Oryza sativa Japonica Group: one gene and its partner. The protein of the gene in region 2 interacts with the protein of the main gene of each other region in a biochemical or structural test. Links are inferred from orthologs where the notes say so. Each region holds a gene or a part of one and is shown on either strand. Other genes may lie near its edges. The genes, in order: protein PIR and probable protein NAP1.

The links.
Region 1: the proteins of probable protein NAP1 (region 2) and protein PIR form a complex in vitro, tested with the Arabidopsis thaliana proteins (2 studies listed by BioGRID). The link is inferred for Oryza sativa Japonica Group from reciprocal best matches to the Arabidopsis thaliana genes GRL and PIR121.

What each region holds. Positions count from the first base shown.
Region 1 is NC_089037.1:2,436,433-2,452,292, forward strand, and holds the start of protein PIR, read left to right. Parts: upstream 1-5,153; 5' UTR 5,154-5,319; coding exon 5,320-5,373; intron 5,374-6,379; coding exon 6,380-6,452; intron 6,453-6,700; coding exon 6,701-6,765; intron 6,766-6,898; coding exon 6,899-6,976; intron 6,977-7,490; coding exon 7,491-7,610; intron 7,611-8,631; coding exon 8,632-8,702; intron 8,703-9,418; coding exon 9,419-9,511; intron 9,512-9,852; coding exon 9,853-9,922; intron 9,923-10,286; coding exon 10,287-10,351; intron 10,352-10,851; coding exon 10,852-11,047; intron 11,048-11,168; coding exon 11,169-11,320; intron 11,321-11,545; coding exon 11,546-11,639; intron 11,640-11,955; coding exon 11,956-12,168; intron 12,169-13,051; coding exon 13,052-13,263; intron 13,264-13,511; coding exon 13,512-13,653; intron 13,654-14,034; coding exon 14,035-14,203; intron 14,204-14,660; coding exon 14,661-14,737; intron 14,738-15,003; coding exon 15,004-15,174; intron 15,175-15,705; coding exon 15,706-15,782; intron 15,783-15,860. UniProt on the Arabidopsis thaliana protein: Involved in regulation of actin and microtubule organization. Part of a WAVE complex that activates the ARP2/3 complex. Interacts with the active form of RHO-family GTPases.
Region 2 is NC_089042.1:27,418,675-27,433,574, forward strand, and holds the end of probable protein NAP1, read right to left. Parts: intron 14,868-14,900; coding exon 14,742-14,867; intron 14,608-14,741; coding exon 14,500-14,607; intron 14,233-14,499; coding exon 14,188-14,232; intron 14,108-14,187; coding exon 13,965-14,107; intron 13,672-13,964; coding exon 13,539-13,671; intron 12,978-13,538; coding exon 12,873-12,977; intron 12,793-12,872; coding exon 12,714-12,792; intron 12,321-12,713; coding exon 12,127-12,320; intron 11,660-12,126; coding exon 11,514-11,659; intron 11,099-11,513; coding exon 11,017-11,098; intron 10,904-11,016; coding exon 10,793-10,903; intron 10,261-10,792; coding exon 10,135-10,260; intron 10,064-10,134; coding exon 9,948-10,063; intron 9,866-9,947; coding exon 9,769-9,865; intron 9,295-9,768; coding exon 8,297-9,294; intron 7,632-8,296; coding exon 7,422-7,631; intron 6,991-7,421; coding exon 6,504-6,990; 3' UTR 6,166-6,503; downstream 1-6,165. Other genes in the region: aBC transporter G family member 45, read left to right, coding at 1-71, 147-197, 266-356, 699-1,000, 1,189-1,784, 1,886-2,046, 2,159-2,262, 2,367-2,526 and 9 more. UniProt on the Arabidopsis thaliana protein: Involved in regulation of actin and microtubule organization. Part of a WAVE complex that activates the Arp2/3 complex.

The DNA of each region.
Region 1 (15,860 bases), on a different chromosome or scaffold from region 2:
CTCCGCCACAAAGTCGGCGAGGGCCTGGCTCTTGATCGCGTGGCGTGGTTCAAAGCGCAAATCGAATTCAGAGAGTTCGATTGCCCATCTCACCACCCGTCCAGTACCCTCTCGGTTATGCAAGATTTGGCCGAGGGGGTAAGACGTAACCACCGTGACCCGATGCGCCTGGAAATAATGGCGCAACTTCCTCGAAGCCATCAGAATAGCGTAAAGCATCTTCTGGGCCTGAGGGTATCGGGTCTTGGCGTCCCGGAGGCCCTCGCTAACGAAGTAGACGGGCCGCTGCACCTTTCGGCGGGGCCGATCCTCTTCGCCAGGGGCCGCATCTCCAGGGCGCTCTTCGTCCGAGAGGCCACGCGGGGCGCACTCGGCTTCTGTGCCGACGCCCTCGGGGTCCGAGGGCGACAGGCGCGGCCTTCCCGCAGTGGCCCCGGGGCCATCCTGGGGGTCGGGGGCGCCTGGCACCGTCGGACAAGTAGGCGGAGGGCCAGCTCCGGCCGTCGGGGGCCTTGGGCCGCCGTTCGGCTCGGGGGCCTCTCCTCCCTGCTCTCTCCCGGGTCGAGTCGACACAGGGTGGGGATGCGCGGAGTGAGGGTTGTCCTCGTCGCGCTCCACGACCAACGCCGCGCTGACCACCTGCGGGGTTGCCGCCAGGTAGAGTAGCAACGGCTCATCCGGCTCTGGGGCGACCAGGACTGGGGGAGAACTGAGGTACGCCTTCAACTGAGTGAAGGCCCGCTCAGCCTCCTCCGTCCAGGTAAACGGCCCGGAGCGTTTGAGGAGCTTAAATAGGGGTAGTGCCTTCTCTCCCAGCCTCGATATGAACCGACTTAGGGCGGCCATGCAGCCGGTGACGCACTGCACATCCCTAAGCTTGCTGGGGGGGCGCATCCGCTCTATAGCTCGTATCTTCTCGGGGTTGGCCTCGATGCCTCGGGCAGAGACCAAGAACCCGAGAAGCTTGCCCGCAGGCACGCCGAACACGCACTTATCGGGGTTCAGCTTTATGCGGGCGGAGCGGAGACTTTCGAAAGTTTCCGCTAGATCCGAGAGTAAGGTCTCTTGGTTGCGCGTCTTCACAACCAAGTCATCAACATAGGCCTCAACATTGCGTCCTATCTGGCTACCCAAAGAAATTCGAGTAGTACGTTGAAAAGTAGGACCTGCATTCTTTAACCCGAAAGGCATTGTCGTATAACAATAAGTTCCTATGGGGGTAATGAATGCAGTTTGCGGCTGCGCCAGAGGCTTCGGTGGCGGAGGACCGCCCGCCGGCGCCTAGGCGCTGCTGCGCCGTCATGACCAAATCGGCCATGTCATCCAGCCAACGTCGGGCTGGAGTCTTTGAATCGGGGACGACGGGCGGGTGACGCAGGAGCGCGCCCGCAGCCTGGAGCGCGCCCTGGGACGTGCCGCCATCGCCGTAGACGAGGCGGCGACGTGCCCCGTCTCGCCGTCCTCCCCCGTCGCCCGCGGGCGGCGAAGTCGCGAATCCTCCGACCTCCCCGAGCGCCTCCCCCGCCCAAGATTTCGGCGAGAGGGGGACGGTGGGGTGCGAGCCCGACGGCGCGGGTTCTGCTCCCCGTCGTCACCGCTAGCGTTCGGAGAGAGGCTGTGCGCCACTGCCCGTTCGGCCATTGGGCTGAGCGGGAGAGGCTTGGCGCACACGAAAGAGGACGAGGGCTTAGAAAGACACGCGCGCCCTCTACCTGGCGCGCCAGATGACGGAGCGTGGGGCTCCTCACCGGGAGACCGCGCAGGCCCCCCTTTGCCGGTTCGGCCGGGGGCGCTAAGTGAGGTTCTTCGCCCTCGATCTGAGGAACGTCAGCGAGAGAGAAAGTGCACAAGACACGGGCGACGTAGACAGGTTCGGGCCGCTGAGAAGCGTAACACCCTACTCCTGTATTCTGGTGGATCTGTGGCGTGAAGGAATACAGAGTGCCGGAGAGCGAGAGCGAGAGAGTTCAGGCTCTCGAACCCCCTTCCCTAGAGTCCCAACCCTCCTTGCTCTTTTTTTCCCTTTTCCTCCCTCCTTTCTCTCCTAGGCCTGGGCCTCCTTTTTATCTGGTCAGGGGTCACCACATGGGCCTCTAGCTGCCTAAGAAGGGAAACATGCTTTTTACAATGAGGGCTAGTCTACAGCCGGAAGTGACCTCTGACAAGCAGAGCACACGCCTCCTGCCCCGCTCGCCTGCTTTCCCGGTGGACGCCCATTTCAACCTTCATTTAATGGCCAGCGACTTCCTTGCCATACCTGTGCTGAAGCCTGGAATGGATCTGACCGGGACTGACATACCAACTCCAGGAGTTAGCACGCCGGCTCCGGCTAGGGACGAGAGCCAGGAAGCTCTCATCATTCCGACGGGACGGGGCGAGGCGTGTGACAGGCCGCCTGTTGCCACCTAACCCGCGATCTGACCGGTCTGTGACCGGTCACACACCGCGACCGGTCACGGACCGGATAAGCGTGTGCTGCGCCGCATTAAATGCGGCGTGGTGCGCTCGTCCAATCTTGCTATAAATGCGGTTAGGTGAGCCCCGCTGTGCTCACCTAACCCACACACGTGGCGCCAAAACCACAGGGGGTCGGGGCGCCCCAGCCCTCGGGGCCGAAACGGGGGCGGTCCGACCCCTCGGGGAGACAGAGGGAGGGGTGGCCACGTCATCCTCGGGCCCGACCCCCCCCCCCCGAGGGGGTCAGGCCACGTGGGTGACCGCGGCTACCCAAGCCTCTAGTCACGATACCCCCAGCCCCATGTCACCGACACTAGCCCTCATTGTAAAAAGCATGTTTCCCTTCTTAGGCAGCTAGAGGCCCATGTGGTGACCCCTGACCAGATAAAAAGGAGGCCCAGGCCTAGGAGAGGGAAGGAGGAGGGGAAAAAAAGAGGAAGGAGGGTTGGGACTCTGGGGAATGGGTTCTAGAGCCTGAACTCTCTCTCTCTCGCTCTCCGGCTCTCTGTATTCCTTCAGGCACAGATCCACCAGAACACAGGAGTAGGGTGTTACGCTTCTCAGCGGCCCGAACCTGTCTACGTCGCCCGTGTCTTGTGCACTTCCTCTCTCGCTGACGTTCCTCAGATCGAGGGCGAAGAACCTCACTTAGCGCCCCCGGCCGAACCGGCAAAGGGGGGTCTGCGCGGTCTCCCGGTGAGGAGCCCCACGCTCCGTCACCTAACGATCTAAAATCAAATGCTAAAAAATAAACTACATGAAATAAATCTAAAATTAACTCTAAATTCAATATTGAAAAAAAATTAATTTTAATTAATTAGTATAAGTATAAACGAAAAGATAAACGAGGTTGTTAATCATGCATGACACACCAGCAGCTGTGCCTGTACGGTCCAGTTACTACTCGGGATGAGTTGCCTGCCTCTGAACCTGTAGTAATTTAGCCATCGCCGCTGTCTTTCGCTGGCCTGGCCATGCCCATGCATGCATCCAACAGCTGAAACCGAAGAATCTTTCGATGCCCTCCTGGCCTTTCGACGACAAAGCAGCAGCACGATGATTTCAGGTCGTTCTCTCGCCGTGGCTGCTGCCCCTCATTTGGACCGCGACGCATCTCTCGTCTCGTCCGGCGTTTTGTCCCGTCCCCTGTTCTCTCGCGTGCACGCCGTTGAGGCGTTGAAGCTTCCACGTCTCGCGTTTGTCGCTAGCACGCGGCACACAGCCTCTCATATGCAGGTGTCCGCTGATCTGATCTGTAAAACAGAGTGACAAATGTTGGTCTAATTGCAGGCTTTCGCACAATAATAAAAGAAAGACCAACGAGCTGTAATTGGCGATGGACCCTTTGTCATTTCATTTGCTAGATCCATTGCTTCCCTAGCTAGTAGTTGTCTAGTGCACTTCAAGCTTGGTTTATTTTGGTCTGAAAAGCGAGCTAATACGACATGATCAACCATTTCTTGTGTACCTAATCATCTATACCCATCTCTGCACGTGATCTGGGCCACCCAGTAGTGTACTAGTACCTGTAGAGAGGCCGCATCGGTCGGCTCTTAAAAACGCCTAGTCCGTGCAGCCGTGGTGCTGCCTACGTAGGTACTACTGCTGCCCTGCGCGCTAGCTAGTGTCCTGTAGCGTCGTATCGATCGACAAATCATGGCACACGAAGCCCTGAATAATACGAAGCCCTGAATAATAGCCCTGCTTGCATGCAGTTGTGCAGGGACAATCACAGGTAGTAGGTCCTTGCAACTGCAACAGTACTACGCTGCTGTGCGGGCGGAGTACATGCATTTGCCTTGCATATGGCCACGCAGTACGGCGGCGAGCGAGAGGCATCGTCAAACAGTCACATGCACGGACGGCGGCGCCCCCACGCCATTGGATTGGATTGGACCGCGTCGTGGTGGTGGACCGCTGCTCGGCTTCACTGCGCATCAATGGCGTACGAGACAACGATGCAAGGACATGGGAGCTAGGGAGATGAGGGAGACCAGGCTTAACGGCATCCTCTGTCTCTTGGTGGTGTCAGGAGAAGGTAGAGTTGGCCTTTAACCTCTCCTTGATGTTTGTTTTCTTTGGGGGCGAAAGAGCAAAGAGAAACCGAATGGAAGTGTGATAATATCGGGCAATAATCTGAAGTGTTAACCATGAAGTCTGGAGAGTGAAGTTATGGACATTACTTCTGAATGGAAGTAGCACATGTCTACATGATTGAAGTTGTGATCATCACCACATAAAAGGACAATGCATGCAACATGATGAGAATAGCATCGAATCATGTAGACCCATCACCTTTGGTTTCAACAACAATGCTGTATGAACATGTACGGTGCAAAATGACTACGGCAGTACGTGCAAATTAGCCCACTGACCAATTTGCAGCCTGATTTGAATATTGCAGGCCGTACACAGGTCCAGAGAACCAAGTTGTTACAAATCGGCCCAGAGTTCGATTTAGATTTGGTTAACTCGGGCCTAATTAAAACTAGGCCCAACACCATTCTACAACAACAAACCGGTCCACCCAAGTCCATAATTAGGTAAATCGTAATCGTAACGCCGTCCACTTTCACCGTTTACTTCGAGTGCACTTCACGGCTTGTTCACCTCTCTCCACTCGCCCCACCGTCCCCACGGCCTCGTCACTGTTCACGGGGACAGTACGACTACGACGCTAGCTGCCACGAGTAGGTGGCTGCATTGGTTTGCATCTCCCTCGCTCCCCGCACGAACTCTGTCTCCACCACCACCACCTCGCTCCCACTCCCCACCGCCCGGCAGAGCTCGCCTCCTCCTCCTCCTCCTCCTCCTCCTCCTCCGCCGCCGCCCCCGGGCTCCGCGAGGCGGGCGACGGCGAGGATGGCCATCCCCGTCGAGGAGGCCATCGCCGCCCTCTCCACCTTCTCCCTCGAGGTAAGCCACACGGCTCTCCCTCCTCCCTTGCTGCTCCCGTTCCCCCCCCCCCCCCCCCCCAAAAATTCCGTCCCGATCTGCTCGACCTGGGAAACGCTATGCGGAATGCGGGGCCCGTGCGTCTCGTCCGGGCTGCGGGGGACTTGGTGTTGGTTTTGCTGCGTTGCTCGAATTGCGTTGCGAATTGGTAGTGTCAGTATGAGTGTTCGTCCGTTTGTGTGCTCGTATTCAAAGTTTAATACCCTAGGAGAAGTGCGAATCTAGGGTTTTGGGGGTCGGTTTGGTTTTGTTGCAGTCCAAGTTGAGTTTCAGAGGATTTCTCGCTGGTCGCTCGCCTGAATTATGGGGTGGTTAAACTAATGTCGTCCAATTTTTGCTCCACTTTAAATCTCTAAAGGAGCATAGAGCTGCACATTTTGTGCTGTTAGACTTCCCTAACTTCAATCATCTGGGTAGGTGTTGATCAGTGGTGCTGCTCTTCTGTTGGGTACACTTCAATTTTTTCTAGATCTGTTTAGCTTCGACCCTAATGAAATGTTGAACGGGAGCTTCCAACGGACTGTGTCTAAATGCAGAAGGATGTGTCGTGGTCCCCATGGCTTGACATATAGAGGTGTGAGGTTTGCCAGCTCTAGCTGTTGTCAAGCTCATTGTCAACCACAACTAGTAGAATTCCCTGTTTTGATCTCAAATGTAGGAGAATATGGAAACATAGGATTTCATTACCTTCGGTTGTCTTATGGATAAGTTATAGTTTCATGTTTCTCTCTAAGTAATGTGGAACAGATCCATATGCTCTTGTTTTGTTATAGTTTGGTCACCACATTTTAACCTTACGAAACACATACTTAGTTAGTGTGCTATAAGTAGCAATCCACTTTGTTATAGTTTGATCACCACATTTTAATCTCAGACTCTTGCATGAATGTGATCTTTTATGTAGTATCTGCACCTTTTTTGCTTGATCCTGATTTTCATATTAACCTCACATATTTTTAAATTTCAGGATGAGCAACCAGATGTGCAGGGCTTGGCTGTGCTCCTATCGAGTGAAAGATATGCAACTAATAGTCCTATTGGTATGCAGCATGACGATGAATTTATTGTCATTGTCACTTTTAACTATATTTTGCTGTTAATTGTTTCTTTGATGCCTGATGGCAACACCGTGAAAAGTTGGAAACATCTACCATGTTATCAAAGTCTTGATTGGTTTTTCTGCTCTTAGAAAGTAACTATACTATTGAAACAATAGCTTCGGTAGTTTAATTAATACCGAGTTCTGATAGTTGTTTTTGTCATCTGTTATTTGCACTTTAATGTTCAGAATACAGTGATGTTGCTGCTTATCGTCTGTCATTAGGAGAAGATACAAAAGCGATCAACCAGCTGGTTTGTAATCGTATATTTATTTGTGATTGTATAGTGCATTCCTGTTGCTTTTCAATCCTTTTTACATGGATTTAAATGGAAGATGATTACATCGTTTCTTCTATTCTTTCTGTGGATGAAAAATGTACTACAGAATACTCTGATTCAAGAGGGAAAAGAAATGGCTTCTTTGCTGTACACATATCGTAGCTGTGTTAAAGCGCTACCTCAGGTTTGCTTCAGCTAACTATACATTCATTTGATTGCCATCCAAGTAGTTATATTATTTCACAATTCTAAGACATTCGACATTTTGCAAGTCATTTGGAGATTTACTATTGGTAATAATGAAGAAGACCTTATTTTTCAACAATTAACTTTCGCTGTCATTCTGTCTCTCAGTATCAGTTTTCTTCTTTGATTTGTTACTCTATTTTCTCACTTTCTGTGTGCCAATCCTGAGCCGGCTGTAGTTTATGTTGATTTATTCATATCCTTTCTGAGGTAGTTCTGTTCGAGACTTGAGTTGATTAATTTGCTGAAGTATCATATTGTGGACTTTGGAACTAACAGAATCCTCTTTCTATTATAGAGCACATTGTACTCATTTTTGAGTTCATTTCTCTATTTTTAGTGTCAAATGGATTTTATTGTACATATTACATAATTCTCCAAGTGATGTGCAAATTCTACACGATTCCCTACTGTGATCTTGAATATCATAGACTATAGAACTTTGAATGCAGCTGCCCGATTCAATGAAGCATAGTCAAGCAGATTTGTACCTTGAAACATATCAAGTTCTTGACCTGGAAATGAGCCGCTTACGTGAAATCCAGAGATGGCAAGCATCTGCTGCTTCTAAGGTAGTACCTCTTCTGTGTTCAATTACTTCATAATACCTGTCTCTTCTGCTACCTCTGTCTCAAAAAGAGTGCATTTCTGGCTAAGCACATGGACAACCAAGTCTGTAGCCAGAAATGCACTCTTTTCTGGGACGGAGGTAGTATGTTATCTCATATCTGCTTCCATAAGTGATTTCAGTTTCTATATTGTTAGCCAATTGTATTTCTTGTGCTAATAAATAGTAAATGAGTATGTCCTGTCCAAAGACTTTTGAAACTTAAAATCTGAGCTAAAAAGTTCCCGATTGATCCACATGATGATCATGCGTGCATGTGGTGATGTCTATCAGTCTATGTTAGTTGCCGTTGTGCCGATGTGTTATGGCATCTTTAAACTTAACTACCAATTAAGTTGGGTTATATACAGCTCTAAGTGTAATGTGAGCTTGAAAAACAAACCATGTGAAGTGAGGAACGTATTTCCACAGATATAGAACCAAAACTTGCTACCTTTTGAACTTCTCAAGATCGTAGGAATTAATAGCATTGCATAAATACAGACAGGTTCTGCAAACAGAAAATGCAATTCACTTGGAAGCAGCTCATGTCGTAATGCATTAATTATATTTGTCTTGTTGTATACTTAAATTAAATGCAATAAATACCTGAGTTGACAAACAAACAGGTGATCTTTTTTTCTAAAGAAATCACAAACTGTCAAGAAAACCTAGTTGAAGGTGCAAATAGATTATCATTTTTTGACTGATTGTTCAATTCTTTCTCATTTTGGGGTTTCTAAGTTGACACAGACCTAACTTGAAGACTTCTTTTCCCATATAACTAGCTGGAACTATCTTCATCTTCTTAGGGGAACTGTTACTCCCCTGCAACACTATCAGATCTATTCACATACAAATATTTTGGTCTCTGAAATTTTTATTGTAGTCCCATCATAGCTTATATTACCTTTTGAGCAGTTTAAGTCCTTCAGAAATAATATAGTACCTGTTTCATATTTTTATACCTGTGTTATCTTGTGCAGTTGGCAGCTGATATGCAGAGATTTTCTAGGCCTGAAAGACTGGTTAATGGACCCACAATAACTCATTTTTGGTTTGTCCTTTTTCCCTAGTGACTGTTCCTTACCTCTTTTCTTTGTCATATGCTTGTTTATCGTGCTAAGTTACTGGCCCTATACTTCTAAACAAAGTGGGAAGTATTCTGGCATCAATCTTCAAAACCCTATCTCTATAATACTCACGGGGGGCCTTAAAGATCTAGCAGATATGAACATAGATTCTTTTTCCCCGATTAAATGGTGAATGTTGAAAATGGACTTGTTCCTTTATTGGTGGTGGTGGTGTATGTGTGCTCTACACCTCACTTCAGATCTTTTGTGAATGGACTTATGTTGACGTATATGTCTTTTGTAGATTGAATTCTTTGTGCATATTTATGTGCAATTGCCAGTAGATCTAATGTGAATACTTAATGTGAGAGCAGTAAGTACTTACAGTTATTTAAGTCTAGAACTTATGGCATGTTTATTCGAGATCCATTTTATGCTAGTTTAAGAAAGAACATGAATTCTATAAATGGGATCCATTACTGTATTTTATCTTCTGAGTTCTGACTTCCCTGAAGAATTTATATTAATCTCTCTTCTGCACGAAACTTGCATGCCTGGATAGGGTATATAACTTATTTCATTATATATTACTATTTTTTTAGCAGCGCAATTAATATCACAACCTTGTTCAAACTCAGTAGTCAGTATATAATCTGCCAGATGATGTTACCTTCATGTCACTCATTTTATTTCAATCCAGGTCTATGCTGAAGTTGCTTGATGTCCTTGTGCAGCTTGATCATCTTAAGAATGCAAAAGCAAGTATACCAAATGATTTTTCATGGTACAAGAGGTACATGATCATTTTAACATTTAATTTTGAGAGCTCCTCTCACAGAATGTCAGAGATGAGTTGTCACAATAAAATTTGTTGATTTCAGTTGATTCTTCATCATTCAACATCTGTGAACAAAATCAACAAATAAAATTGTTTTTATAGGTAGGATTATTTTAAACTGGCCGTAATGATAACTTAGGAATGTTTAAATAGTTTTACTTACTTGTTGATGGAAAATTATATTTTCATATGATTTATGGTTTCTAAAGTACAGCCGCATTTGCTTTTTAGTCCTTGCCCCTGTAGATGATCCAACAATTAATTAGTGCTTATAATCTCATTTGTCTTTCATGCAGAACATTTACTCAAGTAAGCACCCAGTGGCAGGATACTGACACTATGAGAGAAGAGCTGGATGATCTTCAGGTTGCTCGTTTGTCATGTCTCATTTTTTTTACAAAATTTTGTTATGTTGGTTCATGAATTCAGCTGGGGAAAGGGTCCAAAGACACGAGATAGTGCACTCACCCTCTACTAGATCGGCAGGCTTTTTCCAGTTGTGCTAGAGAGACTGTGAGGCTTACTGGACTAACTCAATAGATTCATTGTTGAATGATAACGGGGGTACATGGGGTTCCTTGATATATAGGGAGGACCCTAAGAAACTATTCTCTAATATTATGGAAACCCATTTTGAATCTTTATCTCTAGTTTCCTAACAAATGTAGTCTGTTTCCTAACCTAAGGCTTTCTATCTTTATTTGACTTGATCCTTTGCTGGCACTTGCAGATTTTTTTGAGCACCAGATGGGCCATCTTGTTGAATTTGCATGCCGAGATGTTTCGAACAAATACGTATCCCACTTTTTTTTTTAATAAATGAAGAATATTTCAATGGTTGTATAAATCTTATATATGGTTTCTTTCTAGAAACCCCTTCCGTAAGCAGTAGGAAAATAATATGTTCTCAAAATAAATAAAATATATCTACCACAAGGATCTTTGCTGCCATAGTAACCATGCCCTCCAGCTGCAGGACAAAGTATAAGTTATAGGAATTGACTAAAGAAAACACCAACTTTCTTGTGAGTATTGTAGGGATATAGTTCTACACTTGAAAATTGTTATTGGAAGTTTATTTACTTGAATTATCTCCCATTGATGCCTATGTAGCAGATGTGTACAGCACATTTGTAGATTGTGGACTTGCGTTTGAACAGTCTTGATAATTCATCAATAGTCATTTACAATACAAGCATACATGATTATTGATTCTGCATGTACCACACTGGAAAACTTAATTTTTCTTGCCTTCTATGGTTATTTTCTTTGATTTCCTTTGACTTAAAGAATAGTGTTGAGGACATTCTACAGGTTCTTATAGTATTTTGTGTGGAATCACTTGAGTTAGACTTTGCTCTTCTTTTTCCCGAGCGCCATACTCTACTTCGTGTTCTCCCAGTTTTGGTTGTTCTAGCAACTTCTTCAGAGAAAGAGAGTGAGTCACTCTATAAGAGAGTCAAGATGAACCGTCTTCTCAATATTTTTAAGGTTCGATTACCAAGTTGTCCAGATAGTCTACTTATTTTCTTTGGGTTGAGTGAGTATTATGTGTGCTATTTAGGATATATTTACCATTTTACTTAATGTTTTTCTTATTTATTTTTGGCAGAACGATCCAGTTATTCCAGCGTTTCCAGATCTGCATCTCTCTCCTGCTGCAATTTTGAAGGAGCTATCATCGTATTTTCAAAATTTTTCCAGTCAAACCCGTCTTCTTACTCTTCCATCTCCTCATGAAATCCCCCCTCGAGAGCTACAAGAATATCCTTTTCTGTGTCTTTTAAACATGTTTTTGTTATTGTATACTACAATATTTGTTTTTACCTGAACAGAGGTGGCTATTATCCAAGAATCCCATCATCTATGTAGATAAAAAGTTCAGAAAATATTTGTTATTTTTTCTTGCTGATATATCATGTGCTAAGTGACCTAAATTTATGTGTGGCAATTGGTCATGTTATGCTTGAAATTCCTTAACTAAACCACCTATCAGAGGCATTACTTGATTTTGAACCACATGGGAACTATCAGAGCAGAGCATGATGACTTCTCTATACGTTTTGCCTCTGCAATGAACCAGGTGGAAGTGAAGTTATTGTCATTTTTGGGTTAGCATGTAAAGTTTTCATTCCAGTGCTTTAGTAACTCTCCTAAATATTAACCGTGAAACTGATACACTACGGATTACCATTACCGTTTATGTCCTTGATAGTAAGCACCGCAAAACATTGTCTCATGTATATGTGATATATCATTATTGTGGAGTTCTATGCAAGAAGAAAAGTGTAAAAAGAGATTACACTTAAATTTTTCAATTAACTCTGAGATAATTACGATTGTTTTTCTTTTGTGTTCTGTGATGTGTGTTTACAATGAAAATTGCAATGTGCTTCCAGATGATAATATTGAAGTCATCAGATGGTGCGGATAATGACTGGTCAAGAGATATTAAGGGGAACATGTATGATATTGTTGTTGAAGGCTTTCAGCTTCTTAGCCGATGGACTGGCAGGATATGGGAGCAGTGTGCCTGGAAATTTTCGCGCCCTTGTAAAGAACCACCTTCAGATTCTCAACATGGATCGACAACATTTTTTGACTATGAAAAGGTCTTCTTTCTTTTAAAGCAGTGCTGGCAGCCAATTATTTTAGTGTCTTAGTTCTTCTATTTTGTCCTGGTTACAAACTTTGTAATTCTGTGTTTTGTTTCCTCTCCTTTGTAAATATTCTTTTGATAATATAATATATCTACTAGATAAGGCCGGTAGTATTTTCAGTAAAAAAATATTTTTCTTCTACTCCATTTCCTTATGTTTGAAATTGTTTGTGCATTGTTTATTGAAAACCTTGCATCCCTTTTCTTTTCTTTACCCAGAATGATAATTGTACTAATGCTTAATTCCAATCAATATAGGCCTCAGAATTCTAAGATACATTTCAAACATCAAATTCATGAATATAATGATTGGAAATTTAGAATTCCTTTGATCCTTTACTATGTCGGAAACTTTAGTCTGAATTTATACACATGCATGATCATCAATCTCCAGGGATGGGTTCGCAAGGTTTCTTGTTATTTTTTTTCCCATTACGGGATAGATTAAATACAGAACCCTGATTTGGCTTGTATACACTAAGTGAGGCACATGTGGGCACAGGAAGAGACCTTTACACCTGATTTGTTGGCTGAAACTAATTGATTGAATCTTTCTGTTCATATTTCTACATTCTTCCACCCTGACTAGGATAATGGTGCCTACCTGTTGCATACTCGCATTGTGTAGTGGGCGTGTAGCCTTGAAATGTCAGTAAATTAGTTCCTTTCTCTAGACCTAAAAAAATAACACATCCCAAAAATGTATTATTTTATTTTTAATATTTTTCTTCCTTTTTGTTTTGATATAGGTTTTTTTAATGTTTACAACTCAATTTTATTGGTTATGGACATTGGACATCTTGATTGATTATGGACATTTAACAACTTACATGCAGGTAGTACGCTGGAACTACACTGGAGAAGAACGGAGGGCTCTTCTTGAATTAATTGGTTACATAAAAAGTATTGGATTGATGATGCAACGCTGTGACACCTTAGTGTCTGAAGCCTTATGGGAAACGATACACATGGAGGTCCAAGATTTTGTACAGGATAAACTAGATACTATGCTCCGTACAACATTTCGGAAGAAGAAGGACCTATCTAGGTTACTTGTTCGTCTCAACCATCCTTATTTTAACATGATACTGTAAATTTGCCACCAGCAGTTCCAATAGGCTCCAATAAATCTTGTTCTATGTTTAGTTCAATCTGGGGATGACATAGTTACTTATGTCAATTCTGTATTTGTCATTTATATTTATTTATGTATGATGCCAATTCTTCCTGAAATTTGAGAATTCATTTGGGAACTTAAATTTAAGTTTGTCCATTTTTCCTTTGCTTTTCTTTCAGGATCCTCTCTGATATGCGAACCCTCTCCGCAGATTGGATGGCCAACACTAGCAAGGGAGATCCAGAACACAACTCGTTAGAAACAGAGGAAATGAGACAAAGCACATTCTACCCAAGGCCAGTTGCACCAACAGCTGCACAGGTTTTTATTAATACTTTATCATGTGAAAGCTTTTGCTTCAGTAGCTCTATGTTCTTACAGTAACAAAGGGGTTAACTATCTCATCTATATTAGTTGGAGTTTAGAAATTTGGTCTGCTATTTTGCACCATTGATGTTCCACATGTAAAGACTTTCCCTTATTCCCTTGTATTTCTAGCATAAAAACTATCCAGTTTAATAATTATGTTGAGTAAAATTTGATGATAAACCATGAGTATAACACATTGTAAAATTCTCCATTTAACTTTTCCGTTTTCCAATTTCACATCATACTGCAACTTTAGTTGCCGTGTTCTAATGATCTTCTGTTCACCCTGCTTCTGATTTTTAACTTTTGTTCCTTTTACCAATATGTTTACAGATTCATTGTTTGCAATTTCTCATCTGTGAGCTTGTATCTGGTGGTAATATGAGAAAACCTGGAGGACTATTTGGCAATAGTGGCTCTGGAATACCTGTGGAAGATCTTAAACAGCTAGAGACATTTTTCTATAAGCTCAGTTTTTTCTTGCATATTTTGGACTATACAGGTGCCTCGCCTTGATGCCTTCTCAAACTTAGAAATAGCTACTATCATGTTATAATTTCGCTTTACGTTTGGTGTGTTTTTTATGCTTACTGAAACTTAAATTATCATATGTTTTCTTAGGGAAATATGCTCACTTTACTATAATATTTTTAGTGCTCTAGAATTGCCACTTACTACCTCTGTCCCAAAATACGGGTATTAAGGAAGTAGGTGGAATTAAATGGGTGAAGGTTGTGATTGGTTAAGAAGAGGAAGTACATGGAGAAATTAATTGGGGGAAAACTGTGATTGGTTGTGAAGAGAATGTAGGTGGAGAAGTTGTTGTATTTTGGGACAAATTTTGAATGCTAGAAGTTGCTATATTTTGGGAGGGAGTAAATTTTAAGAGTTCATATATACTGTGGTGATCTTGTTTCATTGGATACTAACTTAACTGCTAATATCTGGGGTACATGCAGCTACAATTGGTACTTTAACTGATCTTGGATTTCTTTGGTTCCGAGAGTTTTACCTGGAATCATCTCGTGTTATCCAGGTCAGCATTTTTTGCTTGCTTATTCTAGTTTGCCTTATCAGAGTGATACTAGTGGGGGTCTCCACTGATAGGACATACTACTAAACAGTGCATTTAACTAGCAAGCAGTGCTTAAATGAAATTAAGTTCCTAGATCAATTTTATTCTTACTTCGCATACTCAATGGTGTTCCTCTGGCTATTGCAGCAATCCAAATCATCATAAGAAATCTTCATAAAGGAAGATTGCTGTTTTGTAGTGCTAATATTAGCATGTCTTGTTGACAGTTTCCAATTGAATGTTCACTCCCCTGGATGCTGGTTGAGCACGTCACTGAAACACAGGATGCTGGTCTTCTTGAAAGTGTTTTGATACCATTTGACCTTTACAATGACTCTGCCCAGCATGCGTTAACTTGTCTCAAGCAGAGATTTCTTTATGATGAAATTGAAGCTGAGGTAAGCAATTATCGTTGTCGTAGAGTTTTGAATTTCAATATAAAATTTCCCATTACACCCTTTCCTTATCATTACTCTTCCTTCTGTTTCATAGATTAACATTTTCATTCTGGAATCTATTCTTATTTTTTACAATGTAGTATTGTTTATATTCTCTTGTTATTTTCACTTGCTTGTATAATTTTCTGTTCGATCCTTTACTAAATATGTCATAATTAATAGGCATGAAGAGTCAATTTTTCAATAAATTTACTCTATAATTATAAAATCTATGTATGCATGATTGTGTGTGCACCTATCAACGTAATGCCCAGGCCCAAATTGTTTGATCTATGTGTCGGCTCGTTATGGTGGTCTGTGTGGTATTCATGTGTTTATTCTAGATGCATATAAACTCTTGAGAAACCATGCTGGGTCAGCCCTTAGGCAAAGCTTATGTATTGGTTTGGCTGGAAATGCTTGTGGTATTGCAATTAATCCCTTGTTTTGCATTAAATATCTTACTGGTGCTACTTGTGTGCTGACTTGTAGGTCGATCTTTCCTTCGATCTTCTTGTTGAAAAGCTTAATGAGATCATCTTTACATATTACAAGAGTTGTGCAGCAAGGTATCCACCTTCTTTCAGTTTTTTCTATTTTAATATTAGAAATGGATATGTTGACCAAGAAATGCGAATAGCAAATTG
Region 2 (14,900 bases):
TGGGAGAAGCAATTAGAAGAAAAAAAGGTGTCATCAATAGAGTGGACCAAGAACTTGACTCTTTTATTAAGGTGGTTAACCTTTTTTTTTTGCATAAAACTCATTTCTTATTTAGTTATCATCACTTAAAAAGCTGATTTGCACAGGCCACAACCTTTGGAGAAGGAAGCAACCTTACAACAAACTATATTATCAAGGTTAGTGTGTTGTTTGTTTGATTCATTATTTATCCTGAGGCACAGCCATAAAAATTGAGTGCATGCAGATACTTGGTTTATCCGAATGCGCTGATACCCTAGTGGGAGACGAGATGCGAAGAGGCATATCAGGAGGACAAAAGAAAAGAGCTACAATCGGTAAGCATTTTGTCTTTTTCTACTATGTATTTTGTTTCTCTCGTCATCCTCTATTATCACTTCTCCAGTAAATATTTGTATCTTTTTCTACTACGTTTTCTGCTCGTATCATCATCCTCTATTACCACTTAAGAGTACATTCAATTAGTCCGGTATAGGAAAGAAAACTTTTATCATCTCAACAACTTAATTATTGTATGAAAGAAAGAAAAGTAAAGTCCTTATCATCGTAGAAATCTGCATGGTAAAATGCTTCTAGCCATCGAGCCAGATGGCAGCAAGTAAGCAGAGAAAGAGCAGGACCAGATAAACGACATACTTACAGGTGCTTCGTTGATGCAGGCGAGATGCTAGTTGGTCTTGCAAGATGCTTCTTCATGGATGATATATCAACTGGTCTAGATAGCTCCACCACATTTGAGATCATGAAGTTTCTGCAACAAATGGCTCACTTGATGGATCTCACAATGGTTATTTCCTTGCTACAACCACCACCTGAGACATTGGAGTTATTTGATGACATAATCCTTTTATGTGAGGGGCAAATTGTGTACCATGGTCCTCGAGAAAATGCTACAGATTTCTTTGAAACTATGGGATTCAAATGCCCCAGCAGGAAGAATGTAGCAGATTTCCTTCAAGAGGTACTCCATTATCAATTACTCCTATCATAAAGAAAAATTGTCAAATAAAAACATTGCTAACAGTTGATCTCCTTACAGAGCAACTTCAGGATAGCCACGTTTTTCTTGTGTTCCCAAAATCAATTATTCTCTAATAGGTACTTGTGCATAACAACATAATACTAACAGTAACTTTCTCATTTGGTCAGGTGACCTCGAAGATGGACCAAAAACAATACTGGATAGGCAACGCAAATAAGTATCAATACCATTCAATTGAAAAATTTGCAGAGTCCTTCCGTACCTCGTACCTCCCAAGACTCGTAGAAAATGATCATTTTGAATCAACTAATGCCGGAAAGAGCAAGGAGGTAAAAACAAGCACAAGTCGCATGATCTCCAGCTGGAATATTTTCAAGGCATGCTTTTCAAGGGAAGTGCTGCTCCTAAAAAGAAACTCTCCAGTGCATATATTCAAGACCATACAGATAACTGTTCTCGCTTTAGTGATCTCAACTCTTTTTCTCCGGACAAATATGAGACATGATACTGTACTTGATGCCAATAAGTACATGGGAGCACTCTTTATGGCTGTTGTCATAGTAAACTTCAATGGCATGACTGAAATTGCAATGACAATAAAGCGGCTCCCCATCTTCTACAAGCAAAGAGAAATACTAGCATTGCCAGGATGGGCACTCCTTTCTTCAGTATTCCTCCTTAGTCTGCCAATATCATTTGTAGAGACAGGTCTTTGGACCGGCTTAACCTACTATGTGATCGGCTACGCACCTTCCTTTGTCAGGTACTCCTCCTAGCAAGTTCTATATTTAAACAATAAGGATAAGGATTTTCTTACTTGAATAGATTGAAGTAACAGGTGGAAGTTTCTCTTGCTTCTGACAGATTTATCCAGCACTTTGTGGTACTTTTTGCCATGCATCAAATGTCAATGAGCCTGTATCGCTTCTTGGCAGCCATAGGAAGAACACAAGTAATGGCTAATATGCTGGGGACTGCAGCTCTTATAGCAATCTACATACTTGGAGGCTTTGTCATATCAAAAGGTTAGACGATTTTGCTTAGAGTACCTTGAAAAGTATGGCAACTCTGTACTACAGGAAACAATTTAAGGCTTATGTGCAGTAATGATACTCACCAGTTTGTACACTTGTCCAGATAACCTCCAACCATGGCTGCGCTGGGGATATTGGACGTCCCCATTCACCTATGCACAGAATGCAGTTGCCCTGAATGAATTCCTTGACGACAGATGGGCTACAGTAAGAACTCATTTCAACACTTGAGATAGCTAACCAAAAAGTAGAGTAAAATTCTTGATCAAAGCTGTTTAAAAATTCCTAATGATGATGATCTCTGCTTATAGGAATTTCATTTCGCAAATGCAAATACTGTTGGTGAAACGATCCTCAAGGTAAGGGGGCTGCTCACAGAGTGGCACTGGTACTGGATCTGTGTGAGCATTTTGTTTGGATTCTCGCTGGTCTTCAACATCCTCAGCATATTTGCACTACAATACATGAGATGTATGTACGCCAAGCTACACTAAGCCTCATAGATACTGAAATAGAAATACAAATGGTACTCACTCTTGTTGGTTATCATATGCAGCTCCACACAAGCATCAAGTTAACATCAATGCCACAAAGGTGAAAGTAGACTACAACAGCCAGATAGTTGGAAATGGCACGGCATCAACGGACCAAGTCATCCTCCCATTTCAGCCCCTCTCCCTTGTATTTGATCATATCAATTATTTTGTTGACATGCCTAAGGTAAGATCTTGACCACATCAGACATTACCAAATAGTTTAATCATGTTAACCACATCCAATCTGTTGCTCCACTCTTGATCTTAATCAACTGTGAATATCTTTGACAGGAGATGACAAAATATGGAGTAACAGATAAAAAGCTTCAGCTGCTACAAGATGTCAGTGGTGCTTTCAGGCCAGGGGTGCTAACAGCTCTGATGGGGATCACTGGTGCTGGAAAGACAACACTGCTCGATGTTTTGGCTGGAAGAAAAACTGGAGGATACATTGAAGGAACTGTAAAAATAGCAGGCTACCCAAAGAAGCAGGAGACATTCTCAAGGATCTCAGGCTACTGTGAACAGAGTGACATTCACTCCCCCAATCTCACCGTATATGAATCACTGCAGTTTTCTGCATGGCTTCGCCTTCCTTCAAATGTTAAATCTCACCAGAGAAATGTATGTGCATTGACCTCTTGTCCTTTTTCTCACATAGTTGGAAGCTCACATCAAACATAGGATCTCATGATATTTATGTTCAAACATATTTCAGATGTTTATAGATGAAGTCATGGACCTAGTTGAGTTAACTGGACTGAAGAATGCCATGGTTGGCCTAGCAGGAGCGACAGGCCTGTCTGCTGAGCAGCGAAAAAGACTAACAATAGCTGTTGAGTTGGTAGCTAGTCCTTCCATTATATTTATGGATGAGCCAACCACTGGTTTGGATGCTCGTGCTGCAGCAATTGTCATGAGAACAGTAAGAAAGACAGTAGACACTGGACGAACTGTTGTCTGCACAATTCATCAGCCAAGCATCGAGATATTTGAATCTTTTGACGAGGTATGAGTAAGTCAATAAATGAGTCAAAAATATTTTCCACTACAAAATCAAGAAAGAATAGTCCAGTAGTGGCAGGTGAATGACTGAACGATAATTGAAAGCACAGCACCAAAAGTAGTGCTTTTTGTCAAATCAAACAGCAAAACTAATTGACTTCACATTTATGCTCCCCTTTCTTCAATAGTAGCACACATTAAAATGTTCTTTTAACACAAGCAACCATTAAAGTGTTAAAGATAGTTGTGACAAGTAGAATATTTCAGGAACCACAGCTCAATTTACCTTTCCTATGAACAAGTACATAGGTCGTCCTTCTGAATTTGAGTTCAATCTTATTGATCGCAGCTTCTACTTATGAAGAGAGGAGGTCAGCTCATATACAGTGGTTCATTAGGTCCCCTATCTAGCAATATGATAAAGTATTTCGAGGTAAGATTACCTAAGATTGGGTTCTTGTTCCAAAATGGAGAGAAGAGGTCTTAAAATTCTTTTGTCGCAGGCTATACCTGGTGTTCCTAGAATAAAAGAGGGGCAAAACCCAGCAGCGTGGATGTTAGATATCAGTTCGCGCACAGCAGAATATGAGATTGGAGTGGACTATGCAGAAATTTATCAGCGCTCATCCCTATACTGGTAACGCAATACGATCATAAAGCAAAAATTACTATTTTGCTAACTTGTTTGAACAAGAAGGAAAAGGATAAACATGATGAAATCACACATGGTTTCTTCAGGGAGAACAGGCAACTAATTGATGACCTAGGAAAACCAGAACCAAACACAGAGGATCTACATTTTCCACCCAAATATTGGCAAGACTTTAGGGCACAATGCATGGCATGCCTGTGGAAGCAAAATTGTGCTTATTGGAAAAATTCAGAACACAACGTTGTCCGATTCATAAACACATTTGCTGTGTCAATTATGTTTGGAATTGTATTCTGGAAAATTGGCTCAACCATGTAAGTACGAATAGCTATCCAAATATTTTTATTTCATGAGAACTTGTAGTGCTTCAATATTGTTTTGGTTAAATGCTAACTTTGTTCTCCTGTGCAACAGTAAGGATGAGCAAGATGTATTCAACATACTAGGGGTTGTGTATGGGTCAGCACTATTTCTGGGTTTCATGAACTGCAGCATCTTACAACCAGTTGTAGGAATGGAAAGAGTTGTCCTCTACAGAGAGAAGGCGGCAGGCATGTACTCCACTATGGCGTACGCCATTGCTCAGGTAATTAATATATAGATCTGTATAAAAAAAACAACTATTCTGAAAAATAGAGGATTTGAAATGGACTCTAAACACAAATGCTGGATTCTTGTGTGCAGGTGGCAGTTGAATTGCCTTACATGTTTGTCCAAGTATTCATCTTCTCAGCGATTGTGTACCCAATGATTGGGTTCCAAATGACTGCCACAAAGTTCTTTTGGTTTGCCCTCTACATGGTGTTAAGTTTCCTGTACTACACGCTCTATGGGATGATGACAGTAGCACTAACACCTAACATTGAGATAGCAGCTGGGTTGTCCTTCCTCATCTTCATCTTTTGGAATGTCTTCTCTGGATTCATCATTGGAAGACAGGTACTACTACCCTGCTACTCTGTTGTTTCAAGTCCCCAATTTTTGTCAAAACCTTAAATTTAGGTTCTACTAGGGAGGATAAATCTAAAATTCTCAGACCTCTTCCTAACAAAATTGATAAAAAGTTTACCCTTGATAACCCCACAACTTCATAATCAGAGATCGTGTCTTAGATTTCGTTTTGAACATTTGTGTGTGCTTGCGAAGAAAAGAAAATTTGTATGTTTGACTAACCTGATGAACAACAACAAATGATGCAGATGATCCCGGTGTGGTGGAGATGGGTGTATTGGGCAAACCCGGCGGCATGGACGGTGTACGGGCTCATGTTCTCGCAGCTGGGAGACCGGACGGAGCTGATCCAGGTGCCAGGGCAGCCAGAGCAGACGGTGAAGGAGTTCCTGGAGGGCTACCTCGGACTCCAGGACCGCTACTTCAACCTCGTCACCAGCCTGCACGTCGCCATCATCGCGCTCTTCACCTTCCTCTTCTTCCTCTCCATCAAGCACCTCAAGTTCCAGAGGCGGTAGCACGGAATTGATGCGTGCAAACTGCAAATATACACTAATAACCAATCACTTAACTGTACAAATGTAAGAGAACATAACAAAAATGCACAACATAAGGATTTGTTACTAAAATATGTAAACCGTAAGGGATTTGCATGTGTAATAGCAGTATAGAATTGTTGTAGTACCATGGTCGAGAAATATACAAAAGAAAGCAAGTGTATATGTTGGAAGAATTTGTAAAGATATAGTTTCGTTCGCAGATTGATTGCAATGCAGACCGTGCCAATAGTAATGTATAGCATATTGAATTGACAAGTAGTAACAACTTACCGAGATGGGCGAAGAGGACTCCATCCAACTGGATTCAGAACATCCAAGTTCCTTACACTCTTTATCACAACTGGACTTTAAGAAACTATTTGTTGGCTGTTGCAACACAATTTTTCTGAGCAGCTGACACGTTTCTGGTCGTTCGTTACATCTGGGATAGAAGGCAATTATACAATCCATTTACATTAACAGACATACAACTAGCACATTGCTAATTCATGTAGCAACAGAGGAGGGTTTACTTACAAGAGCAATAGGTACCATACATATAGACTTACAAGAGCACTAGGTACGTAAATACAGCTAGAATACATATTACTTCACGCAAAGGAGCTAAATAACATATATGCTCAGATGCTCTACAAAGACGAATGGGAGCATTGACTGGAGTCCACTCAAATACAAATTGCTAGATACTGATGCTGGCAAACTATGATTGCCAGTAGAATGCTGTTGTTACTTGTTAACATGATCTTATTTGTAGGATAGGGGGCCAGATCTTGACACAGCAAATCTCTGTAGTGAGCCTGAGCCAGCCCCATGGCTTCCAGAACTTGAACCCTCCACAAACTTCACTTTCCTGGTTCCAGTGTAATCTAGTGGCCCAGATCGCCTCATGCTTCGGAGTTGCCTCTCTCCAGTTCTTCTATCCCCTTCATAACCTTCATCGTACTGGGACCCAGATGAACTGTGGTATCCAGGCTCGAAAGTATGAGACCTGGGCGTTGTGTCTGCTCGATTTTGCTTCATTGATGGTGATGCATGAGCCAGAGATATCAGAGGGGACTGCCTTGGGGATGGCTCCATTGGTTCTGTGGCCATCAGTGAAGCTCCATATAATTGATGGTAGATTGAACGCAGAATCGTGTAAGGTATGTGAACTTCTAAGGTGCTCCTTGGGAGGTAGGGGGACATCTCACAGAGTTGATCGAGGAATATTAGCTTTGGAACAATGTATGGCCTGTAAGAAAATTGCAACCAACGCAGACCACAAAACCATTAGCATACCAAAATCATAACTGATTTTTACTAAAGTATTTGAAACAAGACAATCAATAATTTCCTGGCCTCCAAGAAAACTAGAATCTCCATCTATCTAGATGGCCTATTGGATTGCATATTCATTTGGTTTTAGTTTTTGCTTAAATGGTTTTACTGAGAAATGGCAATTTAGTGGATCATTAGCATGCTGGGGCAAATGAGCGGCATATGCAGCACCAAACAGTAAGCAATATCTAGTGTTACACCTAGTATCTGTGCCACATCCAGTACGCTGTCCAACATGGCTAAGCAATTCATTCATGCAAATGGACTGGGATAGAGGGTAGTATGAGAAAACCTAGCCAACCAAGATGACATTCAGGAACAAATTGGACAAACATAATACTTTACCTGCTAGTGTCATTCCATGAATCCAGGACTAACCCTGCAGACAATTTGACATAGAGTTGCATAGCAGATTTAATATTTGCTTCAGCTGAGACACGGCTCAGTAATTCAGGCTCTTGCAGCTCATCCATATGCCCATTTGAAAGTGAACTTCTCCGATGTTCCCTTTCCATCCTAGTGTATTCACTTCCTCCAACCACAGCACTTACACACCTGGGAGAACACAAAGAGCAGTTACATGCAATTCAGAGCACCCAATATTAACGCTTACGCCCTCTACTGTCAATAGCCTACGATATAAAAAATATACTAATATCGATGCTAGGAGAAGCTTTAGGAACTTAGTTGTGCATAATAGCTGTAAGCAGGAAAACAAATTATATGACAATGTTTCCTGTTAGTTTTTTCTGCTGCCTTGTAAATTTGTTACCATCCATAGTAAGGAAATTTGGCATTTCCAAACTTGTTTTTAACACTACCATGCAATATTTCCAGTATCTAGACTCTCAAAATTGGCAAGGAATTCTTCAAAGACACATTGATACATACTTAGAGAAAGTACTAGCAAAATATTCGTTTTTGCAATGGATTTCAAAATATATAACATAAGTTCTAAACTTAAAAATTGTATATGTTTCTCATGGAAAAAATATATAACATGTAAGCAAACATCAAACCAGAGATAGCCAAGAAGATCTCACAAACTCTAGAGGTAGCAGTGGAATGGCATATTCACCACGATCACTAGGTTTTTCTCTTTCTGTTACATGAAGGAAACCACTAGGTTTTTTATCTGAGATATCAGTAGAGAGAGAGGACGGAAGGGGTGGGATATTTCTATACCAGTCAAACATAACCGATAGGTAGCAAGTGCTCACCTTGCTAAGCAATGCAAATTGTTACTGAATCCACCTGTATTGACATCATAAGCAGTAGTGCTCCACATATTGGATGCCATAAATGCAGCGCAAAGATATGGAAGTAAGGTCCAAGAATTATCATTAGCAGAACCTATTTCTGCCAGAATAGAATGAACCCACTCGGCATCATGTTTGTCACCGACACCAACACTGCTAGCAACCCTTCTTAGTCTAATGATCTCATTTTTATCAGGTACCTCTTCTGGCAACTGCATAGCTAATCCCTTGAGCAGAGAATATATGAGAGGTACTTTCTCTTCAAGAACAGCTCCAACAGCTTCTACCAACAACCGGCGAAAAGTTATTGCCTGACCTGCCTGGATACAGAAGTCAGCCAATGTTTCGATGTCAATTATCTGCTTTAGATTTGCATCTCTTTCAATCCTATCACCAGAGTTTACACTTCCAGCAAGGCCCTCTAAGGCATCGCGGTTTGACCTAAGCGCTGAGTCAATGCAATTTAGTAGAGCTGATGTATGTTCCCTTAACAACTTATCCAGCCTATCTACTCCATAACCACCAAATAAACGAACAAGTGCTTTGAGTTCTCTTTTATCTGTGAATGCTTCCGCTAAATATCCACCACCAATAGGCTGTGAGCTCCTAAAGCAATTCTGAGATGCATCAAAAACAACTCCAGTGCGAGATGCATCCTTTACGAAGTTATCAATATACCAATTAGATATTATGTCTATGGCAGATCCTCCTCCATGTGTTTCTGTTGGTGTCTCAAATACTTGCAGGTTGGGAAATGGCCCAGTAAAACTCTCTGCAAGTAGCACTTCCCGTATACCTTCAGTAAGGTCCATACTGATATGCTGCTCTGCCAGATGGATGATGCTCAGGTGTCTTCTTAGAAGAGATTCTATGACTGATGGTCGTTGAAGGCAGCTATCAGTTCTAATCATGCTGTGAAATCTTCTCCTAAAATTACCTATGATGCAGTCCCTCATGTACTGTCAAACAACAACATTTTCATACCCAGTTTTAGAAACAAACAAAATATGCATAAAAAATCTATTAAAAAATAATAGACAAACCATTAAGATGAAAATGAACTTATCTAGGCGGTATTATATATATTAAGAAACATGGTCTAGTTGTCTTTCCAGAGAGCAACTTCTGGAACAAGATATTTTCTTTTTGTTTATGTATGTAATCAGATCCTTTTTCATCTCAAGATTATTGTTTTACAAGAAAATAATAAATTTAGCAAGCCGCCATCTTAATAGTCATGAACCACCATCCAAATTATCATTACCACAATACCTAACATATCCATCTCTGCTTATGATAAAATAAATGAAGACTGGCACATCCAATCCTTATCCTTGAATGTGATTATTTGCATCAACAGTATAATACACGGAATAAATCACAACTTCTTGACATAAAAGAAAGGTGGTGGTAATCTTTTTTTGTTACTGTACCTCTCGGAGAATAAAAACATGATTGAGAACACAAATAGGCTCCATGTCATTTAGCACAGAGCATAGACTTGTCAGCCTTTGCATAGCAGCTTCCAGCCTGTTTTTTCATACATCCACAATTAGAGCAATGGAACCTCAATAGTATTTAAACAGTGCCAGGAAGTAGAAAATTGACTGACATCTTAACTGAAGAACTATTATCAGGATAGCTCTCATGCCCTGGTGCTAACAAGCCTGAAACAGCTTTTGCTCTTGTTGCATTATTCAATCGGATAGCTGCTTGCTCTGGCGAAAGCTGAAGAATAGAAAGTGAGGGCATTAGATATAACAGATAGCACAACAACTATGAGTTCAGAAATTCTGTACCTGCATCTCTAATGAACCAAATCCACCTTCTGAATCTAGAATATTTATCAAACCTTCCAATCCACCCATTATAGACTCGATAAGGGACTCAACATATGAGATAGAATCTCTGCCAATCTTGTTGACCTACATGTTAATCAAAGGAGCATTCACAAATAAATATTTCAAACAATAGAGACATGGCATTTTTTTTGGAAACAATAGAGACATTGCATTAACATAGCTGAGATATGTTTTAAAAAAAACTCAAATATTATTGATGACACTGTAAAAGGTTGGTTTAATAGGTTTTTCCGAACAGAGACAGAACTAGATGCTTTCAGGTTTTCAAGCTGCAAGAGAACATATGCATGCAACAAAGGTCTAAGTCTAATGGGTTCACACAGGTTGAGAAAACTGTTTTCTACAACCTAATTATTGATCTTCGTGATGGTCCAGAGTTTTTCATGTTCCAGAGTGTACCCAAAAACTTTCTTGCTTTTGAATCAACTATCGTAGCATTAGAGGCCTATCGGTTGAGTAAAGATCAATAATGATGCACCACCTCATCCTATTCACAATTCCTCAAAACTAGCCATTTTGCAAAAGCATGTCTTCAGTATTCTTTGTACATCAAAATAATGCTTGAACTTAAAGACAAGTGAGTTAAAATATGCACCTCTTCAGGAATAATGGAAGAAGCACATTCTGGAAAGCAGCAAGCTGCTCCAAGCCACGCACAACAATGTTGGGGACGGCCTTCTGGACCAAACATTGTGTTTCTGAAGACCTGCAATTTTCAAGCATAATTGAGCTTGCTAACACTGAGAAAACACTAGTACTTGATAAAAAGAAAATGAAACTATGAGAATTGGATGAAAATATAAACAAAACTGGAGTCACCGTTGTAAGATGCTGATGGTAGAAGTAAAGTTTTTTCAGGCTTCCATGTTTGGAAAGCTGGCCCTCAAGTTCATCCACACATCTGCAATATAAGTACAGTGAGGACACATGATTCCACGGATCATTAGAAAAAAGGACATGATTCTGAAAAAACATGGATCACCAGCAAATCATAATATATTAAAGCTGAGAGTGAACATTTTCATAGATACCCTCTGAAATCCAGTTTACATCTAATAGTAGAAAATGCTAACTAAAAATGCAGAACAGAATCAACAGATAATCTAGAGAAGGGCAACAACACATAAGACAAAAATCTATGTTCTAGAATCTACCATACTTTGCAGCACGGCGGATGCAACTTTTAAAAAAATGCCATATCTGTACAGTTCCATTAATTATCATGATTACTAATGAATTCATAAGCTAGGAAAATATGTTAGTTACATCTGTGTCATGACATTGAAATAATCAATTGAAAGCAGCAAATTTCCCACCTAGACCAATTGTAAGCAGCATTGCCTTCTGAGACCAGGCCCTCCTTCCCAGTAGACACAGTAGCCTTCTCCAAATGTCTAATATTTACAGATGATCGTGATGATGTGACAATCATCAAGATGGATAGCCAGTGCTTCCGCAAATCCTGCACCATCAGCATATGTTTTTATCAATTGCTAAAAGTAAATTGTATGGAAAAATTAGCATATGTATGAACACACTACACAGTAAATCAATATACTTGGTTGCTTCATCGTCATATGTTTTATTGCAAGCGTCAATAGTTTCATGTGCAAATTGCGACAATCAGTAGATAATTGTAATTGCTTTCATCAGAAATTTAATTTACAAGGAAAAAGATGTTTGCTCATGACAAAAGATTTTCTTTACCCTCAATCACTAGTGTGCAAATAAATAAGAGGTAGCAGTAACAGAAAATTGCATGGGAAAGATCAGCTGAGACTGAATTAGCACTACCAGAAAGTCATGTGCATGTGTGTGGTGTATGTATGTGCACATGCTCATCAATGATATGAGTTGAAAATTATTAGGGCCATCTCTTTTCTTCTAAACTCGGTGTTTTTTTGTAGATGGCAATAGGGAAACCCTTACAGTTAAGTCACAAGTAATAGCAGGGACATTTTCCCCCTGAGGTTTCGGAATGTTTTCCAGACAATGGAGGACTTGCTGGAACAGGCCCTTCAGTGTGGCATCTAGGTCAAGAGCAACCATGCCTGGAGTACCAAGTAAGAACCGTATTCTTCCAGCACAAGATGACAAGTATGATAATGCATAACCTTTTATTGCTGCAAAAAGAACATAACAAAGAATGAGTTAGGCATCATCATTTTGTATCAATAAGTTATGGCATATATTTCTCTATTCTCATTTTCCAAATGTAAGCGAGTGTCAGCAGAAGGGGGGGGGATGAAAGATCTCCTTGACAGCATATATGAAACTAGCCGAATATTCCGCACAACTGTGCATGGATATAGTTCAGTTCTTATGCTAGATTATAATTATTTAGATAATTTACAAGAACTTGTCAAATATGTTCAGCAGAGAAGGTGCAAAAACTTTAGGCCTGTCTGATGTAGCATTACTAAGGTATAAAGTTTAATGCATGAACAAGGCAATTTTCAGACAATACAGAAGAAATTGAAAGAAAAACTTGAATAAGTCAACAGGTCAGGAAGAACCTGCTATATATTTACGAACCAGGCAACAAAGTTTGCCCATTCCATCTAATAGGAATCCAATAGTTGGGTCTGCCGCATCCTAAAGGTTTTGATGACCAAGTCAGAACGGCAGAAACAGGGAATGATGATATCCAAATGAAAATGAGCAAATTTACTAACAATGTCAACTGTTCTCCCTCGACTAGATTTCGATGATGCAATCCCCACATGCTGGAAGTACCAAACCACCTCACATTGAGCCAAAGCAAGAGCAGAAAAGACCATCTGCAAGAATATGTGAATGTTACTATGCCTTGCAATTTGCAATAACAAGGTATTAGGCACAGACAGTTGATCTGCATTTGGCTGAAATTTTATGCAGACCCTTTCATCAATAACTATTACAGTATTACCTATAAATCCATATGATATGTTCCCATCATACCCGAATAAGTTTTTCTTTAAAACTTCTTGGAGCCATTACGATACAGAGATGTTAATATTCGAAAGGACTAGTGGGCCAACATAAAACTAGCATCAAAATGTTAAGATCAGAAATATGGTAGGTTGACATTGCTGAAATGTTTATGGCAGTCCCAGAAAAGTAATACTCCCTCCGTTCCAAAACATAAACACTTCTAGATTTGAAATTTGTACCCAAAATATAAGCACTTCTAGAGTACTAATTGTCCCATTAACCACCATCCCACAGTCCCACGTTGAACCATCCCTCATTTAATGAGTATCATAGTCTTTTCTAATCAACCATAATCTTTGCTAAAACCCGAAGTGCTTATATTTTGGAACAGAGGGGGTAGTACATAAAATGTGAAATTTTCAACCAACCTGAATATTAGGAGCAAGAAGACTAGGTTGATCTGTGAAAAACAAAACCATCCTTCCAATTTCCTGTTTCAGAAGAATTCTCCTTTCATGATGTAGAGCATCAGCTGACACCAATGCTTGTTCATGTACTTCCCTGCAGGAGGAATAATATGCATGAAGGAGAGGACATACTTTTTAGAATAATTGAACAATTTCTCATTTTGAAGTTAGGTTGCAACAAACAATAAAACATAATTTGCCTCCTTGCAAGCGGATCACTGTATTTGCAGCAGCCCAAAAAAATTGGAATATCCCGAAAGCTTTGCTAAATTATTCAAAGAAACAATAGGTTGCCCAAATTTCACTTAAAAGGCCAAGATCCCTTTTCACGTGAGTTATTTTAGGTCAGATGTCAAAGTAGGGAAGAAGAGGTTGCGAGGGACATACATTAACATTTTCTCAACCTGCTTTGCAACATTGTATTCCAGATCAGCTTCCTTTTGCTTAGTACGTCCAGATTTAGCCATTCTCTTCGATTCTAAAACTTTTGGAAGGACATAGAGTTGATAGTTCTCATGGAGTAAGATGTACTGCATAAAATATTAAGCCTAAATTAGTATATCAAACAAAAAAAACTAACCATGGCCACCACATGAGATTTGATCTTTACCTCATCTCTGAACAGGGAGAGTACTAAATTTTCTTTCAGAACAACCTGAAAAGGCACTAACAACAAATGAAGTACAGGACACTAGCCAACAGACATAGCTGTCTGAGAAAACAAGAGGGTATATGTGCCAGTGTATGGTCGTGTGTAAGGAATCCGTGCATGTTACCACGAGACATCATATCAGTTATCCTTCCACATTTTTAATTATCTAAAAATATCAGTTAATAAATTACTTAAATAGAGAGATTTATTGTTAAACTGCATGAATACATTTCAGGGAAACAAATACCAAAAGAGAAGCACACAACGTACCATTGCAACATCTATACTGGTCACTCGAAGTAGTTCATCTGGACAAACAAGATATCCAAGAAGAACCCATTCACGATATGATGTTACATTAGCCAGGTCTTGGGCCCTCTGAGAGGAAACAGAATCATGATAATTGTCCAAATTTTAATACCTCTCAATATTATGATATCGCTAATAAATGAAAGTATATGTAAATCTGATGATAATTCACCCCTAGCTAATGAAATAATCAAATAACTAACCATAGGATGAGCAGAGTTTGTAAGGATGTCAGGATAACGTGGATGAAATGGACTGAGGAACCCTTCATTTCTTAACTTTTTTGTATCAGTTGAAAGAAAGATAATTGGGCCAACAGCCTCCAGGACCTGAATAACAATAGTATTACAGTTAAAGCACAT